Oryctolagus cuniculus: one gene and its partners. The protein of the gene in region 1 purifies or fractionates together with the protein of each later gene. This does not show direct contact. Links are inferred from orthologs where the notes say so. Each region holds a gene or a part of one and is shown in the gene's direction. Other genes may lie near its edges.

Region 1 (5,541 bases):
GAGAAATGGGGTGGGGTGTGGAGCAGGTGAGGGCATTCTACGCTGGAGAAACAAGGGCAGGGGAGGTCGTTCAGACCCTAGTCGGGCAGTCTGTGCTTGTGTTCAGAAGACAGCAAGTGTGTGAGAGCATTGGAGCCCTGTGTGTGTCCTGCCATATGTGGCCCGGCTCCCGGCAGCAGGCAGGCTGTCTCCTCCAGCAGGCAAGGTCGCCTGAGGGAAACACCGATGCCCCTTCCTTCTCCAATCCAGTCCTTGGAGTCGGTGGCAGGCAGGACCTACAGCAGGCCCCTGCATCCAACAGGATGGCCTTGCATGACTGCCTTGTGGGCTGTGGGAGGAGCAGGGGACCCAGAACCCCGGTGGAAGTTTCTGACCCTTTGTAGGACTTCACTGAGGATGTCCACTCTGCTTTTGAGTTCCTGCTGAAGCTCACCCCGCTGTTGGACAAAGCTGACCAGCGCTGCAAGTATGAGCGCCCTGCTCAAGCCCTGCGCTCCTGGAAGGTGTTCCGGGCTCTTAGCTTGCTGGCTATGCCAGATAAGCCTCTGGGGACACTGTCTCCTTGTTGGCTCCCCTTGGCAGGGGCAGGAGGCAGCAGCCCTGTAGTTGCTGCGAACCGAGATCTCTGTTCCCTTCCCTCCAAATTGTCCTCATCCTCAAAACCCTTCCCTGTAAACTCCCAGCTGTGCGCGCCGTTGTCTCATCATCATTTTCCCTCACAGCTGTGATTGTACAAACTTCCTGCTCACAGAATGTAGCAAGCAGGGGCTTCTGTCTGAAGCCAGTGTCAACAGCCTTACAGCTAAGCGGTAAGTGTGAGCTCATGTGGGCTACCCCAAGAGCCCCGGGCTTTTCTGTCTCCTGTTGACTGGGCTGCTGCTGCCTCTCCCACTCCTGTCTAAAGTTTGGGTTGCAAATGACTGGGACCATGCCACGAGGGGACAGGGGACAGGAAGGGACAGACCAAACTCAGTTCTTTAACATACAGTTTGGTTCTCTCAGTTGCTACTTTTTTTTTTTAACATTTATTTATTTATTTGAAAGGCAGAGTCACAGAGGCAGAGACAGAAAGAAGTCTTCCACCCGCTGGTTCATTCCCCAGATGGCTGCAATGGCTAGAGCTGGGCCGATTCAGAGCCAGGAGCCAGGAATTCCTTCTGGATTTCCCATGCGGGTACAGGGGCCCAAGGACTTGGGCCATCTTCTACTGCTTTCCCAGGCCATAGCAGAGAGCTGGATTGGAAGTGGAGCAGCTAGGACTCGAACCAGTGCTATATGGGATGCTGGCACTGCAGGTGGCAGCTTTACCCTCTACACCACAGCGCCAGCCAGCCCTAGTTGCTACTTTTTAACCCATACCTTCCAGTGTGATAGAATCAGAATCCCAGATCTTCCGTTAACCTTCAGTAAATTTTCAAAAAAGACTCAATGGCTAATGACTAATTGAGGCAGTCGCAGTACTGAATTGCTTTCTCAAGCTTCACCCAACCCCAGAGGCTGTTAAAGGTTCCCAGGGGTGGGGCCGGCGCTGTGGCGTAGTGGGTGGAGCAGCTGCCTGCGGTGCCGGCGTCCCATATGGGCGCTGGTTTAAGTCTCGGCTGCTTCATTTCTGATCCAGCTCTCTGCTGAGGCCTGGGAGGGCAGTGGAAGATGGCTCAGGTCTTCGGGCCCCTGCACCCGAGTGGGAGACCTGGAGGAGGCTCCTGGCTTCAGATCAGCGCACCTCTGGCCGTTGTGGCCAACTGGGGAGTGAACCAGTGGATGGAAGACCTCTCTCTCTCTCTGCCTCTCCTTCTCTCTCTCTATAATTCTTTCAAGTAAATATATAAAATCTTTAAAAAAAAAGAAAAAGAAAAAAGGTTCCCAGGGTTGCTTCTGCAGTTGGACTAGGGAGTGTCATGAAATCATGAAATCACGTTCCTCTTCCCTTTTCTCGGCCAACTGGTTATGACCACAGCACTGAAGACCGGGAGCAGGCACCTCAGCTGAAGTCAGGAGAAAATGCCAACATCCAGCCCAACCCCGGGCTGATCCTGCGGGCAGAGCCCACTGTCACAAACATCCTCAAGGTCAGTGTGCCCGTCTCTTGCCACCAGAGTCTTGTCTTTCCCTGTCCAGTCCCTGTACTTCCAAATAAGTAACCAGGGCTGCAGGGCTCTCTCTTGTCTGGTTTTCTTTTTCTTTTTCTTTTCTTTTCTTTTCTTTTCTTTTCTTTTCTTTTCTTTTCTTTTCTTTTCTTTTCTTTTCTCTTCTCTTCTCTTCTCTTCTCTTCTCTTCTCTTCTCTTCTCTTTTCTTCTTCTTCTTCTTCTTCTTCTTTTTTTTTTTTTTTAAGATTTTATTTGTTTCTTTGAAGGGTAGAGTTACAGACAGAGAGAGGGAGAGACAGAAAGAAAGGTCTTCCATCCTCTGGTTCACTCCCCAAATGGCCGCAACAGCTAGAGCTAGGCCAATCCAAAGCTAGGAACCAGGAGCTTTCTCCAGGTCTCCCACTTCTATGGCTTTCCCAGGCCATAGCAGAGAGCTCAATCGGAAGAGGAACAGCTGGGGCTAGAACTGAACCGGCGCCCATGTGAGATGTTGGCACTGGAGGCAGAGGCTTAGCCTACCGTGCCACAGCACTGGCCCCTCTTGTCCGGTTTTCTCACATAGTTTGCTCTGGAAGTAGAGAGAGGGGGAAAGCGGGCGCAGCTCCCCCTGAAAGCTGAGGTTTTATTGGGTTTTGCTTGCGGGCCGGGTGCTGTGGTTGGGGCTTTCACTGTTGCCACCTTGTGTGAAGACAGTAGACAAGCTCCCACCTTCGTGCCAGTGTGACTGAGAGGGATGGATGGATTTTAGGAGTGATTTTCCAGATGGGGGTCAGAAAGATGGAGTCGAAATTGTAGATTGGGGTGTACCGGTCAGTGGAGACATGCAGCGAGAGAAAAGGTGGCTGCACTGTGTCTGGGGGGTTCCACAGTGTTCTTTGGGACTTGATTTCCTGTCCTGTCCCCAGACGATGGATGCAGACCACTCCAAGTCTCCAGAGGGGCTGCTGGGAGTCCTGGGCCACATGCTGTCTGGGAAGAGTCTGGACCTGCTGCTGGCTGCTGCTGCTGCCACTGGAAAGCTTAAATCCTTCGCCCGGAAATTTATCAAGTGAGGGGAACTGAGCTCCTGATTGGTGGGGAGGCCATGTGTGAGGGAGGAGTTAGCAGAGTGGCAGTGAGGCACCTTGGACAGGTCTCCCAGGTCAGAGATGCACTGGCCAGGGTGGAACATCCCAGCTGGAGACCTTGCTGGAGCGATCTTGACCCAGAATGCCTTTTTCTCTTGAGCGGAGGGTTAGGTGGAGGTGGTGATAAGGTGATGAGGCAGTGAACAGGAGGCATGGTGGGTTCTGTGAGTGTCCAGCCGCTAATGAGAGCCTCTCAGTTCTCCTGCTTGTGTTGGTTGACTTGGAATTTGACAGAGATCATTGTCACATTCAGGGAGCCAATCTCTAGGCCTTGGAACTCTTTTAATGATAGGTAGGAGAAAAAATAATAGAAATAATTATTTTTTCTATAGAAGTGATGTTTATTTACAATTTTTTTAAAGATTTATTCATTTATTTGAAAGAGTTCCACAGAGAGAGAAGGAGAGGCAAAGAGAAAGGTTTTTTGTCTGCTGGTTCACTCCTCAGATGGCTGCAACGGCTGGAGCTGAGCCGATCCGAAGCCAGGAGCCAGGAGCCAGGAGCCTCCTCTGGGTCTCCCACGCGGGTGCAGGTGCCCAAAAACTTGGGCCATCTTCTACTGCTTTCCCAGGCCACAGCAGAGAGCTGGATCAGAAGTGGAGCAGCTGGGCCTTGAACCGGCGCCCATATGGGATGCCAGAGCCTCAGGCCAGGGCCTTAACCCGCTGTGCCAAAGCGCCGACCCCTGTTTGCAAATTTTTAAGAAGTTTTTTTTTTTTTTTTTTTTTGAAAGGCAGAGTGAGAGAGAAGGTGAGAGATAAAGAAAGATCTTCCATTCACTGGCTCACTCTGCAGATGTCCACAGCAACTGGGACTGGGCCAGACTGAAGACAGGAGCTAGGAATTCCATCCGGGTCTCCCATGGGGGACCCAGGTACTTAGGGCGTCATCTGCTGCCCCCCAGGCTTCGTGTTAGCAGGAAGCTGGATCAGAAGCAGAGATGGGCCTGGATCCCAGACACTCCAGTGTGGGGTGTGGGCGTTCCAAGCTGAGGCTTCACCGCTGCCTCGCAGTGCCTGCCCTGTTTTGGGCTTAGTCGTGATTCCGATTCTAGTGACCGCCTCTCTGAGCGTGTGCAGCCCCTTGTATCTGATGGTTGCTCAGCTCTTCCCTGGTTGATGCCAGCTGTCTCCATTCCTTCCGCAGTTTGAACGAGTTGAATGAGTTCACAACGCATGGCAATGGAGAAAGCAGTAAGTCAGCGGCAGATCCCATTGGCACTGGATCTGCCAGTGGAGGGAGAAGGCAGGGGAGGGAGGGGCACCTCGGCTCACCCTGGGAAGGCTGTTTCCTCCCAAGCCATGACTGACTTAAAGAGGGCGGTGTTGGGAAAAATTTCTAAAACTGTCCTGTTGTTGCCTTCCTGCCCATCTTTATGGTTCAGCTGGGCATTAGGGGGAAGTCTTTGACTCCAAGGAAGGAATGATGTCCCTTGAGACTCAAGAAAAGGATTCTGAGCCTTGGCTTTGAAGGAGCCACTCAATCCCTGACCTTCCTTGAGGCAAATCCCGATCTTGCGACTCAGCCAGGGGCTTTGGGCCCTTGCCGTAGGCTGAGCTGTCAGCCTTTTTATCCTCTCACAGCCAAAGCAGCCTCAGTGCGTGCCTTGCTGTTCGACATCTCCTTCCTCATGCTGTGCCACGTGGCCCAGACCTATGGTTCGGAGGTGAGTGGGAAAAAGGAGAGGGGAACGACCCATAACCCTGCCATCCCCCACCTCAGTCAGTCTCCCAGGCCAGTTCTGCTGGCCTCAGAAAGCAGGTGCCCACCTTGGGCAAAGCCAGTGGACTTCTCAGTCACATCCACATCCTACAAGGACCGCTAGGTGGCAGCACAGTCCCCTGTCTGCCTCCCTCAGACCAGTTGGTCTGTAGTTCTTCAGGGTTGGAAGGGAACTGCAGGTTTCTAAATTTATTTATTTATTTCTTAAAAATATTTATTTATTTACTTGAAAGTCAGAGTTACACAGAGAGAGAAGGTGAGGCAGAGAGAGAGAGAGAGGTCTTGCATCCGCCGGTTCACTCCCCAATTGGCTGCATCGGCCGGAGCTGTGCCGATCCGAAGCCAGGAGCCTCCCCTGGGTCTCCCACATGGGCTCAGGGGCCCAAGGATTTGGGCCATCTTTCACCGCCCTCCCAGGCCATAACAGAGAGCTGGATCGGAAGTGGAGCAGCTGGGTCTCAAACCAGCACCCATATGGGATGCTGACACTGTAGGCGGCAGCTTTACCTGCTATGCCACAGCGGGGGCCCCTAAATTTATTTATTTATTTTTTAAGATTTATTTATTTATTTGAAAGGCAGAGTTACAGAGAGGTAGAGAGAGA
Region 2 (6,335 bases), about 44 Mb from region 1:
GCTGCCAGCGCTGCCTGTGCTGATGCCGCGTCTGCACCAGCCAGGGCCGAGGCACCACTGCACTTGGAGTGTGGCTGGTTTCAGTGCAAATGTCCTGTGATCATAAAACACACGCTGGGGGCTGGTGTTGAGGCTTAGCCGGTAAAGCCGCCACTTGCGTGTGATGCCAGCATCCCATACTGCACCTGCTGTCTTACTGATTTTTCATAGCGCTTTTGAAGTCCGTTGTGTGTGTGTGTGTGTTTTAAATTTATTTCTCTGAAAGGCAGAGTTTACAGAGAGAGAGGGAGAGACAGAGAGGTCTTCCAAACTCTGGTTCACTCCCCAGTGGCCACAACAGCCGGAGCTGCGCTGATCTGAAGCCAGGAGCCAGGAGCTTCTTCCAGGTCTCCCACATGGAGACCTTTTTGCTGGCAGCATAAAACGCTACATGAAATGCCTCACATGTGTTTCAGCCCCCCCCCCCCCCCCCCCCCCCCCCCGTAGCAGAAACTCACAGTTCTGGGAGCCGGAAAGTCCAAGACCCGTGGTGGGGGCAGGGCGGGCACACCTGCTGGTGGCTTCTTGCTGTGTCCTAACACAGCAGAAGGGTGTAGAAAAGGGTGCCACTATGGCAAGAGAGAGCTGAACTGTTTGTAACAGACACTCCCTCCTTCCACGGGCCTTGATCACAAACCCTTTCCCAGGCTCAACCAGCTCTTCAAGGTCCCATCCCCCCCCCCCCCCCCCAACGTGTTCCATTGCTGCTCAGAGAGAGGCTGAGCCACCGTCCACACACACACCTGAAGGAAGCCAAGCTGGGACAGAAGTCAGGCTGGCCAGCTCCAAAGCCTGCCCTTGTAACCAGAAACCTGGCAGGACGGGACCCAGGAGAAACAGCACAAAGCTGCTCAAGGGGCCGGTGTTGTGGCATAGCGGGTGAAGCTGCCTCCTGCGGTGCCGGCATCTCATATGGGTTCCAGTCCCGGCTGCTCCATTTCCATCCAGCTCTCTGCTGTGGCCTGGGAAAGCAGTGGAGGATGCCCAAGTCCTTGGGCCCCTGCACCTGCATGGGAGACCAGGAAGAAGCTCCTGGCTCCTGGCTTTGGATCTGCTCAGCTCTGGGCTTTGTGGCCATTTGGGGAGTGAACCAGCAGGTGGAAGATTCTCTCTCTCTCTCTTTCTCTCTTGCTGGCTCTACCTCTTCCTCTAACTCTGTCTTTCAAATAAATAAAATAATCCTTTAAAAAAATCTGCTTACGTCATCAGTGCAGCTGAGGCTGGCCACGTCTCTGACAAAACAGCCGCCTTACATATTCATGAAGCAGCTGCCTTTGCTGACGTTTACCAGGATGAGTATTAAACAGATGCGTATTTTTGTGGCAATGTTGGGCTTCCTGAAAGCAGCCCAGGCAGGATTTTTCTGACATATGCTTGCAGCATTACAAAACTTTACTCTTTGTCACTAATTATATGAACTATTTATAGGGCAAATTGTCAATACCCAGTATTTGCTCATGCATCTAACATTTTCAATTTGTGGGTTTTTTTGTTTGTTTTTTAGCCATATCTATTTATACCTGATTTTTTTTTTCTTTTTAAAGGACGTTCTCATTATGATGCCAATGACAAATTCGGGGCTTGTGATCAAACACGCTGGGAGGGGAAAAAAAATGACGCACGTTGCCATGGGGATATTATTGATGACTATTAGATTGCTTCTCAAATTCTGAATAGAAAGCCACGTTAACATTTTGAATCATAAAGTTACAAAACTAGCAGAAGCCTGAGGAACCTGGCTGAGACCATAGGTTTGGCGTTAGGCAAACTGGGTGACCCTAGACCCACACCCATTGTTAAGTCTCAGTTACTTTGTCTTTAAAATGGGGATGCTTTGGAGTTGGCGTCCTAGCGCTGTGGGTTAGGCCAGAGCTTGGGACACCTGCCACCCACACTAGAGAGTTGTTTCAGGTCCCGGCTGCTCTGCGTCCCATCCAGCTCTCTGCGGGACACCTGCCCCCCACACTAGAGAATTGTTTCAGGTCCCGGCTGCTCTGCCCAGCTCCCTGCTAATGAGCCTGGGAGGCAGCAGATGATGGCCCAGGTGCTTGGGCCCCTGCCACCCACGTGGGAGTCCTGGATGGAGTACCTAGCTCCTGGCTTCAGCCTGGCCCAGCCACAGTTGTTGGAGGCATTGGGAGAGAGAAGTATCCGAGAAAAGATTTCCGCGTGTCTATCACTTTGCCTTTCAAATAAAAATAAATTTAAAAATGTTGAACAGTTGTTTTAAAAAAATAAAATAGCGGGTCGAAGCCATGGTGCTGTGGGTTAAGTCGCGGCCTGCAGCGCCGGCATCCCATATGGGCGCCAGTCTGAGACTCGGCTGCTCCACTTCCCACCCAGCTCTCTGCTAAAGGCCTGGGAAAAGCAGCAGCAGATGGCCCAAGTACTTGGGCCCCTGCACCCGCGTGAAAACCCTGAACGAAGCTCCTGGCTCCTGGGTTGGCCCTGGCCCAGCCCTGGCCGTTGAGGTCACTTGAGCTAAATCGCCTGTTTCTGACTAATTTACTTAACTAGACTCGCAACCAAATCCAGCCTACACCAGCCCGCCCACCGCATGTCGCCTAGCAACAGCCTCCTCCCCTCACGCCTGCGCTTTTACCCCGCCCCCTGCTCAGTGCGCATGCTCAGATCCGTGCGTCCGGCCCCGCCCCTGCGAGGCGCTCAGCAGTGACGTGTAGAGTCCGCGACGCTCCCGGCGAGCCGAGCCGGTGAAGTGGGGGAGTTGGCTCGCTGGACCGAGCCCCGGGGCCATGGCCTCGGCCGGGGTGGCCGCTGGGCGACAGGCCGAGGATGCGTTACCGCCACCGGCCGACCCGCCGCTGACCGAGACCAAGCCGTTGCCGCCGCCGCAGCTGCCGCCACCGGTGGCCGCGCCCCAGCCGCAGCAGTCGCCGGCGCCCCGGCCCCAGAGCCCCGCCAGCATGAAGGAGGAGGAGAACTACTCCTTCCTGCCGTTGGTTCACAACATCATCAAATGGTAAGGAAGGGCCCCGGAAGAGGGGGCCCCGCCGCCGCCGCTGGCGCTGGCGCTAGGAGGCTGCAAGGGTGCGTCCCCATTTCTCGGGCGGGCAGGCCGAGGCCAGGGGGTGGGCAGGGGCCTCTCCCGAGAGCTCGCGGCGCCTGTCCGGGCGCATGGGGGCGCCGGGGGGCGCCGTGCTCTATGCGGGGGACACTTGCTCCGAGCTGGCCGGCACAGGTGGCCGGGGGCCTCGGGAGCCTGGGCAGCGTCCCTGAGGCTCCGTAGGGTTAAGACGCGCTCTGGTTTTCTCCTCGTCTTCAGCACATCCCGCAGAGAAACATCGTCGGGACTGCATAGCGTTCTGCTAGGCGTTACGGGGTGCGCACGGTAAAAGGGGCCGACTGCGGGCCGGCCTTGTGGCGTAGCAGGTAAAGCCGTCGCCTGTAGCGCCAGCATCCCGAATGTCTCCAGTTCGAGTCCCGGCTGCTCCACTTCTGGTCCAGCTCTCTGCTGTGGCCTGGGAAAGCAGTGGATGATGGCCCAAGTCCTTGGGCCCCTGCACCCACGCGGGAGACCTGGAAGAAGCTCCTGGCTCCTGGCTTTGTTCGGGCTATTTAGGGAGTGAACCAGTAGATAGAAGATCTCTCTCTGTTACCCATAATTATGTTACCCATAATTCATACAGATTGAGCCTGCAGGGCTGAGATGGCCTGCAGAGACACAGAAATCGCCTCCACCGGGCCTGGACTAACTTGATCCCAGCCTACCTTGAAAGGATATGGCCGTGCTGTTGGCCAGCCCTCAGGGGAGCCCAAGCTTTCGGACAGACAGGCTCTGGAAAGGAAAAAACAAAAACAGACAAGAAACCAAAGTCCCCCCCGTTCCACGCTTGCCTGAGTGAGTACGCCGCTGGCGCTGACGTCACGGAGTGGTGCCTGGGAGAGTGAGGAGGTGCAGCCGAGGCATCGGCCGCTTGCTGCAGGCAGACACGTCCCAACGGGACATGCGTGGTGTTTGGCCTTTCGTGGAAGTAGGAGGAGTACGTTCTGAAACAGCAGTGAGAGGTATAGGACAGCCAATACGAGGATTGTTTTGAAAGTTCACGGAAAAGTGCGTATTATGGAAAGATGTGTATGGGTTTCATTTTATTTTTCAGGGATTGGTTTTACTTATTTGAAAGGCAAAGTGATAGGGAGGCAGAGAGAGAGAGAGATCTTCCATCTGTTGGTTCACTGCCCAAATGGCCACAACGGCCGGCCTGGGCCAGGCTGAAGCCAGGAGCCTGGAACCCCATCCGGGTCTCCCACGTGGGCGACAGGGGCCCCAAGCACTTGGGCCATCCCGGCTGCTTTCCCAGGCGCATTATCAGGGAACTGAATTGGAAATGGAGCAGCGGGGACTTGAGTAGGTCCTCATGTGGGATGCCAGCATCAACGGCTTGTGCCACAATGCTGGCCCCTGAACCAAAATTTTAGTTCCATTTTTCCAGTAACTTTTTTTTTTTTAATTCATTTGAAAGGCAGAATTACAGAGAGGCAGAGAGAGAGAGAGAGAGAGCTTCCACCCAATGGTTCACTCCCCAAATGGCTGCAACAGCCGGAGCTGTGCCGATCTGAAGCCAGAAGCCAGGAGCTTCTTCTGGGTCTCCCAAGCAGGCAGGGGGCCAAGGACCTGGGCCATCTTCTACTGCTTTCCCAGGCCATGGCAGAGAGCTGGATCGGAAGTGGAGCAGCCGGGACTAGAACCAGCACCCATATGAAATGTCGGTACTGCAGGCGGTGGCTTTACCCACTACGCCATAGCGCCGGCCCCGCAGTAACTTTCTGAAGTTCCCTGTATGAGAACTGGCAGTGCAGTCGGTTTCTTTCCGTCGGAGTCACCACGAACAAGGTTGTTTTCAGCCCCGTTTTAATCTCATGCCACCATTCGTCGTGTGTGTAGTCTGTTGTTGGCTGACTCACGACTCAGTGCTAGATGTAAACCCCCAGGCTTGCCACTCGAGCTCAACCATTTAAAACCAAAGCAAGCTAAACTTGACACCACCACCATTGCGGGGGCGTTCAGGTTGAAGGTTGATGGGCTTGCCGATGCTGTGCTGAGATGGAGTCGCTGCTGACAACGTGGACTTTTTTTTTCTTTTAAAGATGTATTTATTTGGAAAGAGTTACAGGGTCCGATGTTACCTGCGGTGCTGCCTTCCCATATAGGCACCGGGTCGAGTCCTGGCTGCTCCACTTCGAATCCAGCTCCCTGCTAATGGCCTGGGAAAGGCAGCAGAAGATGGCTCAAGTGTTTGGACTCTGCTACCCGTGTGGGAGACCCAGAAGAAGCTCCTGGCTTTCACCTGCCCCAGCCCTAGCTGTTATGGCTGTTTGGGGACTGAACCAGCGGGTGCAAGATCTCTCGCTCTGTCTCTCCTCTCTAAGTTTGACTTTAATTAATGAATAAATCTTAAAAAATTTTTTTAAAAAAGGAGTTACAGTGAGAAGAAGAGACAGAGAGATCTTCCATGTGCAGGTTCAGTCCCCAGATGGCCAAAACAACGGGCCTGGGCCTGGCAGGATCTAGGAGCTTCATCCTGTTCTCCCACGTTGGTGGCAGGGACCCAAGGACTTGGACCATCTTTTCGCTTCATTTCCTAAGCCATTAGAAGGAGCTGGACTGGAATTGGAGCAGCTGGGACACAAACTGGCACCCATCACAGGCAGTGGCTTCACCCGCGGCACCCCAACGCCGACCCCCAGTGTGAGCATCTTGACTGGTAATGGCCCAGCTCTCTGGAGAGCGGGCAGACGAGAGAGACTTGCGGGCTGTGGACGGCCTGGACGCCTTTGTTCTCCCATTAGACCCGCCTTCCTTTGGCTTCCCTACGTTCGTGCCGCCCTGTGATCTCAAGTGACACTTCGGGGCTACCCAGTGCAGTCCCGGAGGCGCGTAGAATTATAAAGGATTAACCCAGAATACGCTGGTTTTGGGAAAAATGGAAACAGAACATTCACAGTGACAAGGACAGCTGTTGGGCTCCCCAGCGGTTTATCCGTGGACCCCAGCAGAGCAGCTGTGCTGGGATGGCCCCAGCAGCAGTCAAGAGACAGCGGGCCTTGCCGCGCGACAGGCCTGGGTTGGGCTCAGATCTGGGTGCTGGTGCTGGCTCGCGTTCTCATCTGTGTGGGTGCTGGCGCTCTCCCAGGTGCAGGTGTCTCGTCTCATAGGTGGGTGGTGCACCCCAGGCGATGGGCCCAGACTGCAGCTTTGCAACATACCGGCAGGGTAATGTTGGGTGAGTGGGCCTCGTTTTCTCTTGAGATGGGAACCACAAGATTGTAGTGGGGAC
Region 3 (5,541 bases), on another chromosome or scaffold:
TAAGCTGAAGGCTACAAGAAACAAAACTTGGGGAAAATAATCTGGTCTGAACACTTCAAACTTACATCTGCTTACCCTCTAGTACAGAAAGATTACAGTGCTGTGGTCATTTATTCAGTGTACACACTACAACCTGAATCATTATACCAAAGATAGAACTAATAGTCTAGTAAGTATTGTAATTTCAGGGACAGACTTTAAATTCCATTTTCAGTATTTTATTTTTATGTTTGCTTGGTGGACTTTGGACAGAGACTGAAAGAGCATCACTCTCTAAGTCATTGTCACTAAAGCAGTCTAAAAAACTTTACTAATCACATGGTAATTTGGAGAAACTCAGGTGTTTGTCCTCAAATAGCTGAATGTCCACAGAACATATGGCATTCTGCAGTGTGGGAAATATACAGTAAAACAGGGAAAATGAAATGAAAACTTACTCTCTTTTATTAGGATAGAAACTTGGTGTTAGTACACCTGTTGTTTACAATAATTTTGACCCTCCCCTCCCCCAGTTTGAGTACATGAAGCATGCCAGTGCCTACCTCCTTTGTCTGCTTAGCTCAGTGGCTACACATAAGCAGCACAGATTTTGAGAAATAGATATTTATTTGTTTTTAATCTGGAAGGTCTTTTTGTCAGGAGTTAGGCAGGTAAGTGAGCAGAAGAGAGACTCTTCTGTGAATCTGGCACAGACTCAGGGTGGGGGGCAAATTAGGAAAGGGAGACTTATTTACAAAGAATGAAAAATTTGAAGTAACATACTGATTAGCTGACTCAAAGTTCATGATTAATGTCTGGGTCAGGATTTTGAAGAAAGAAAGGGTGGTAAACCTGATAGAGGTGAGAGAAAATAGGAAATACTAAGAAAGAGGTTGCTACTGTGAGATCAAGCAAGATTCAGTAAACTGTTTTCCTACTTACCTGACTTTTTATTAGAAAAACAGGATAGTATTAATGATAGCTAAACTGTTTACCTCTCATCTTCCTTCATATTTTATTTTTGTCATTGGAATTTTTGATAGCTAACCTGATAAATGCTTATAATGTCTTTAGGATATAGGATGAGTAGAGCTTTAAACATACAAAATGATCCGTCATCCCTTTGGTGATCCTGCTTAGCTTGTCTACCTGGCCACTGTGATTATCAAAGATCAAATTTATATGGGTTACTCATATAAGAATAATAATTTAAAAATTGGCTGGTACCATGGCTCACTAGGCTAATCCTCCGCCTGTGGCGCCGGCACTTGGTTCTAGTCCCTGTCGGAGCACCGGATTCTGTCCCGGTTGCTCCTCTTCCAGTCCAGCTCTCTGCTGTGCCCCGGGAGTGCAGTGGAGGATGGCCCAAGTCCTTGGGCCCTGCACCCACATGGAAGAGCAGGAGAAGCACCTGGCTCCTGGCTTTGGATCAGCGCCGGCCGTGGCAGCCATTGAGGGGTGAACCAATGGAAAAGGAAGACCTTTCTCTCTGTCTCTCTCTCTCACTGTCCACTCTGCCTGGGCGGGGGTGGGGTGGGGGGACTAATTTTCCCATTTATTTATTTGAGAGAGAGAAATGGATCTTCCATCAGCTGGTTCACTCCCCCAAATGACCATGTGTGGGCCAGGCTAAAGCCAGGAGCCAGGAACTCCATCCTAGTCTCCCACATGGTGGCAGGAGCCCAAGTACTTGGGCCATCTTCTGCTGCCCTCCTATGTGTATTAGCAGGAAGCTGGATTGGAATCAGAGCAGCTGGGACTAGAACTGACACTTGTATATGGGATGCTTGCTTTGCTAAACCCACTACATCCCAGCACTGCTTCTCCCCTCCATTTACTTTCTTTTACTAAAAACAAGAGCTTGGCCTATAAAGGGGATTGAAAAAGTTTGGAAAATAGCATTCAAAGACAAGCTATTTTGATGGCAAAAATTTTGAAATCCATATATATGAGGGGCCTTCAAAAATTTCATGGAAAAAATTTTAATTTGTCCCAATGCTTATTTATACTGATGATCGGTATTGAGTAGATCATTCCAAAACCACTTCTGAATAGGATGACTGTTTGCACATTGGACTTATTAGCGTAGAGAAGTTAACATATTCAGTTTAGGATTTTGCTAAGAGTAGAAGTGGAATATTTTCAACTTTAAATTCTAAATTGGTATATTGATTTTGTCAGTATACCAATTTAATAGTTATGTTGATTTCAAATTTAATGTGAATGATAGTAAACCTGTATCTTGTGAATGAAAGAAATTTGCCTTTTTTGTATACAAAGAAATACATTTGGCCTATGTAAATAATTCCTATGAATTTTTAGTCTCATACTTAAAGTAGTATTTTGCTCCCCATTTGCTTATGTTTCTTTGTAAATACTTAAAAAATCTGACACTGCTGTGGCATAAAAAATACTTTGAAAGATAAACTGTTCACAGGGAAATGTATTTCATTAGAATATTTTAGGTCAGGCATTGTCTTTTTCTTGTTGGAATTGCACCTTGCTAAGAGTGCTAACAGGAGGGTAATTATTAGACTTTACAAATTAGTAACTAAATAAACAAGATAAAGACAAGTATTTTATCACAAAAAATTGTGCTTATTTTTGGCAAGGGCACAATTTGAAAGGCTGTTTGGATTTTCTGTTTAGTTTTTGTTTAGTTTTGTTTGTTTGTGGTTCCCATGCTTTGTGTGCAGCTTTGTATTTATTTTGTAGATAAGGTAATGTTTGGGGCATTTAAAACTCATCAAAATCCAGCTAATCAGTTTTATTAGTTTTATAATGGAAACACTGGGTGGGGTGGAGGTATAATAGGGAATGAAGAATTGGGAATGGGAGTGTGGGGGCTATTTACAAACAATGTTCCCTGATATTTAGTAATTATAATTGCTTAGGAACTAATATGACTATTAGGGAAGAAAAGAAAAAGACTCCCACCAAAATAAAAATGCATTTTCTTTTGGAAAGAACCACTTTATTTTCCTCCTTTCTTTTTCTTTTTTCCTTTCCTTTTTTTTCTTTTCTTTTTTTTTTTCTTTTTATTTTAAAGATATTTGGGCTATAGGGTGTATATTTGCAGAACTACTAACGTCAGAACCAATATTTCACTGTCGACAAGAGGACATCAAAACTAGTAATCCTTATCACCATGACCAGCTGGACAGAATATTCAATGTAATGGGATTTCCTGCAGGTACACATTATGTTTTTGTTTTTGTTTTTAAATCACTGTTGTTTGAACTTAGATATCTTCATTGGAAAGATGTATATTTTTAGTTGATGAAAGCTATTTGTACTTGATGCTTTGTTTTTATTACTTGTATTTATCAAAGATTGACAGAAATAGCAAAATTTGTAGAATTCACAAGAGTATTAACATGCAAAATATTTGTGGATTTCCTGAATTTGAGTATTTTTTGTTTTGTTTTGCTTTTGTTTTGTTGTTTGATATTTAATATGATACAATATTTGCAATATCTATATTAGAAGGGTGTTTTTGGTTCTTACCAGTAGAAACTATAAATCAAATTCAGTAGTAGAATTTTTTTTTTATTGCAGCACATTTAATACTGCTAGTTCTTGACATTTGAATACAAATTTTGAACATTATTTAGGGCACTATGAACAGTATATTGGACATTTTTGCTCTCTGACCCTCATCACTAAAAGTGTTGTGTTGGAACAGTCAGAATGTGGGCTAAGCATTGCACTCCACCAGCTGCTAGCCCTGAGTTTCACAGCAGGGAAACAGTCCTCAGGTGTCCAGTTCTTGGCATTACATCTCTCCAGCTACAGCCCAGGCTCTAGGTATACCACAGAATGGTGATTCTTCATTCACCAAAAACTCCCCAGAGGTTCAGTAAAATGGCAAATTGTTTAAAAGACACCAATAATTTTGAATCATTTAGTACTTAATAGAAATTGTTTCTCATTAGAAATATTTCTCAAGTCACTGTAACCCAAGACAAATACAGAAATACCTGAGGGTTTCTCCAAAATATCTGAGGGTTACCTCTCTCCACAATTTGTCAACAGTTTTGGAAAGATGACTTTGTCGTGATGGAATTTCTTTTATTCACTAAATATTTATGAGTAACTGCCATGTGTCAACACTGTCTTAAGTAAAACATTGATATAACAGACATGATTCTTGCCCTGGTGTGGTTTACATTGTACTGCTATAAGTAGAATGTTTAAAGAATAGCTATGTTCTGAGCAGATAGAGAAGAGTGGCCTTTACTTCCTGCTTCTGAATTTGTCCACTATTTCTGAGGCCCACAGGAATGTAGCTTAGGGGAGAGGGTGGGAGTGGTGATGGCCCATAGTGGAGAGGATCCTTAATGTGTGGCTCGACAGTTAGGGTGGGCTGTTTATGTAAGGGTCCTTGAAGAAGGTGGCCCAGTTTAGACTTGATAAGCTGAAATTTGAGAGTCTACAATGAGTTTTTGAGTACAAGGAATGTGATTTATATTTTAGAAAGATCAGTATGGCAGTGGTGTGTAAAAATCAGAGAGGTGACTGCAGTCAGGGAAACAGGCCTCTTGCTGTAGCAATACTACAGGCAGAAAGAGCACGGAAGGAGAATGGAGGACACAGCTTTGTGTCACTGGGAAGGATAATCTCAAGATTTCTACTTTGAGGAATTGACAAAATAGAGAAATCGGGGCAAGGAAAAAGTAAGGAGGAAATTCCATTTAGGAATTTAAGTAGACATTTAGTTTACATTATGTGATGTCTATGGAGGACAGTTAGCAAATATTTTTACCAGTGACTTCAAAGAAAAGCAAACCATGAAAGGCCAATTAAAAGTGAAAGGTGCTTGTCACAGTGCTGCTTGCCTAGTGGGCTTTCATTAAAAGTCTTTGGTATTGATGGAGAAAGCAGGTGATCTGACATGAGTTGTTGGAGCAACTCTTAAGGCCAGCAAACCTGGCTGAAACATTTTGTTCTTAAAATTTATTTAACAACTTTTGTTTTACTTAACACCCCAAAAATTATTTAGTAGCTAGGAGTTTTTATTTAGTGTCGGGTAATGTTAATAAAAAAAACCAAGATACCAGCCGATTATTAATATTACTATTTCCATCCTACACCCAGTTCTACTGCAAACAGTTATTACTGGCTATATTGATTGCTGATGTAAATAAGGAAATTGCTGATTTGCCAAGAAGTGTGGTGGAAAAGGAAAAAATAAATTATTATACTAATAGAAATAGAACTTTTTAATAATAAATAGAAATACTTATAATATTCCTTCCTAGTTATAGTAATTGAGGCAACTTAACAATAAATCATATGGAAAGCAAACAATTTAAAAATTTAAAAGATGAACAGATATAAAAGCTATTTGAGCGGATGAGGAATTGTATTTACAGTTCAAGATGTTTATTGTAGCTGAACATTTATTTGAACTCTGAGCTTCCAGAGAGGCTAAAAGAACTGGAAATATAGTGAAAATGGAGGTAATCTATATTGAAATTCTAAAGAATAGGAACCTAGGCAACATAAAAATTTATCAATGTGTTTCACAGATAAAGATTGGGAAGATATAAAAAAGATGCC

Evidence for each region.
Region 2: the proteins of MED24 (region 1) and MED9 purify together in Homo sapiens (affinity purification with mass spectrometry; 5 studies listed by BioGRID and IntAct, with this or other methods). This does not show direct contact. The link is inferred for Oryctolagus cuniculus from reciprocal best matches to the Homo sapiens genes MED24 and MED9.
Region 3: the proteins of MED24 (region 1) and CDK8 purify together in Homo sapiens (affinity purification with mass spectrometry; 13 studies listed by BioGRID and IntAct, counting the BioPlex papers as one, with this or other methods). This does not show direct contact. The link is inferred for Oryctolagus cuniculus from reciprocal best matches to the Homo sapiens genes MED24 and CDK8.

What each region holds. Positions count from the first base shown.
Region 1 is NC_091448.1:22,393,917-22,399,457, forward strand, and holds part of MED24 (mediator of RNA polymerase II transcription subunit 24), read left to right. Parts: intron 1-383; coding exon 384-466; intron 467-722; coding exon 723-809; intron 810-1,957; coding exon 1,958-2,069; intron 2,070-2,993; coding exon 2,994-3,136; intron 3,137-4,361; coding exon 4,362-4,408; intron 4,409-4,621; exon of another isoform or gene 4,622-4,721; intron 4,722-4,798; coding exon 4,799-4,881; intron 4,882-5,541. UniProt on the Homo sapiens protein: Component of the Mediator complex, a coactivator involved in the regulated transcription of nearly all RNA polymerase II-dependent genes.
Region 2 is NC_091448.1:66,355,766-66,362,100, forward strand, and holds the start of MED9 (mediator of RNA polymerase II transcription subunit 9), read left to right. Parts: upstream 1-2,701; 5' UTR 2,702-2,792; coding exon 2,793-3,019; intron 3,020-6,335.
Region 3 is NC_091440.1:96,684,844-96,690,384, forward strand, and holds part of CDK8 (cyclin-dependent kinase 8), read left to right. Parts: intron 1-3,028; coding exon 3,029-3,172; intron 3,173-5,510; coding exon 5,511-5,541.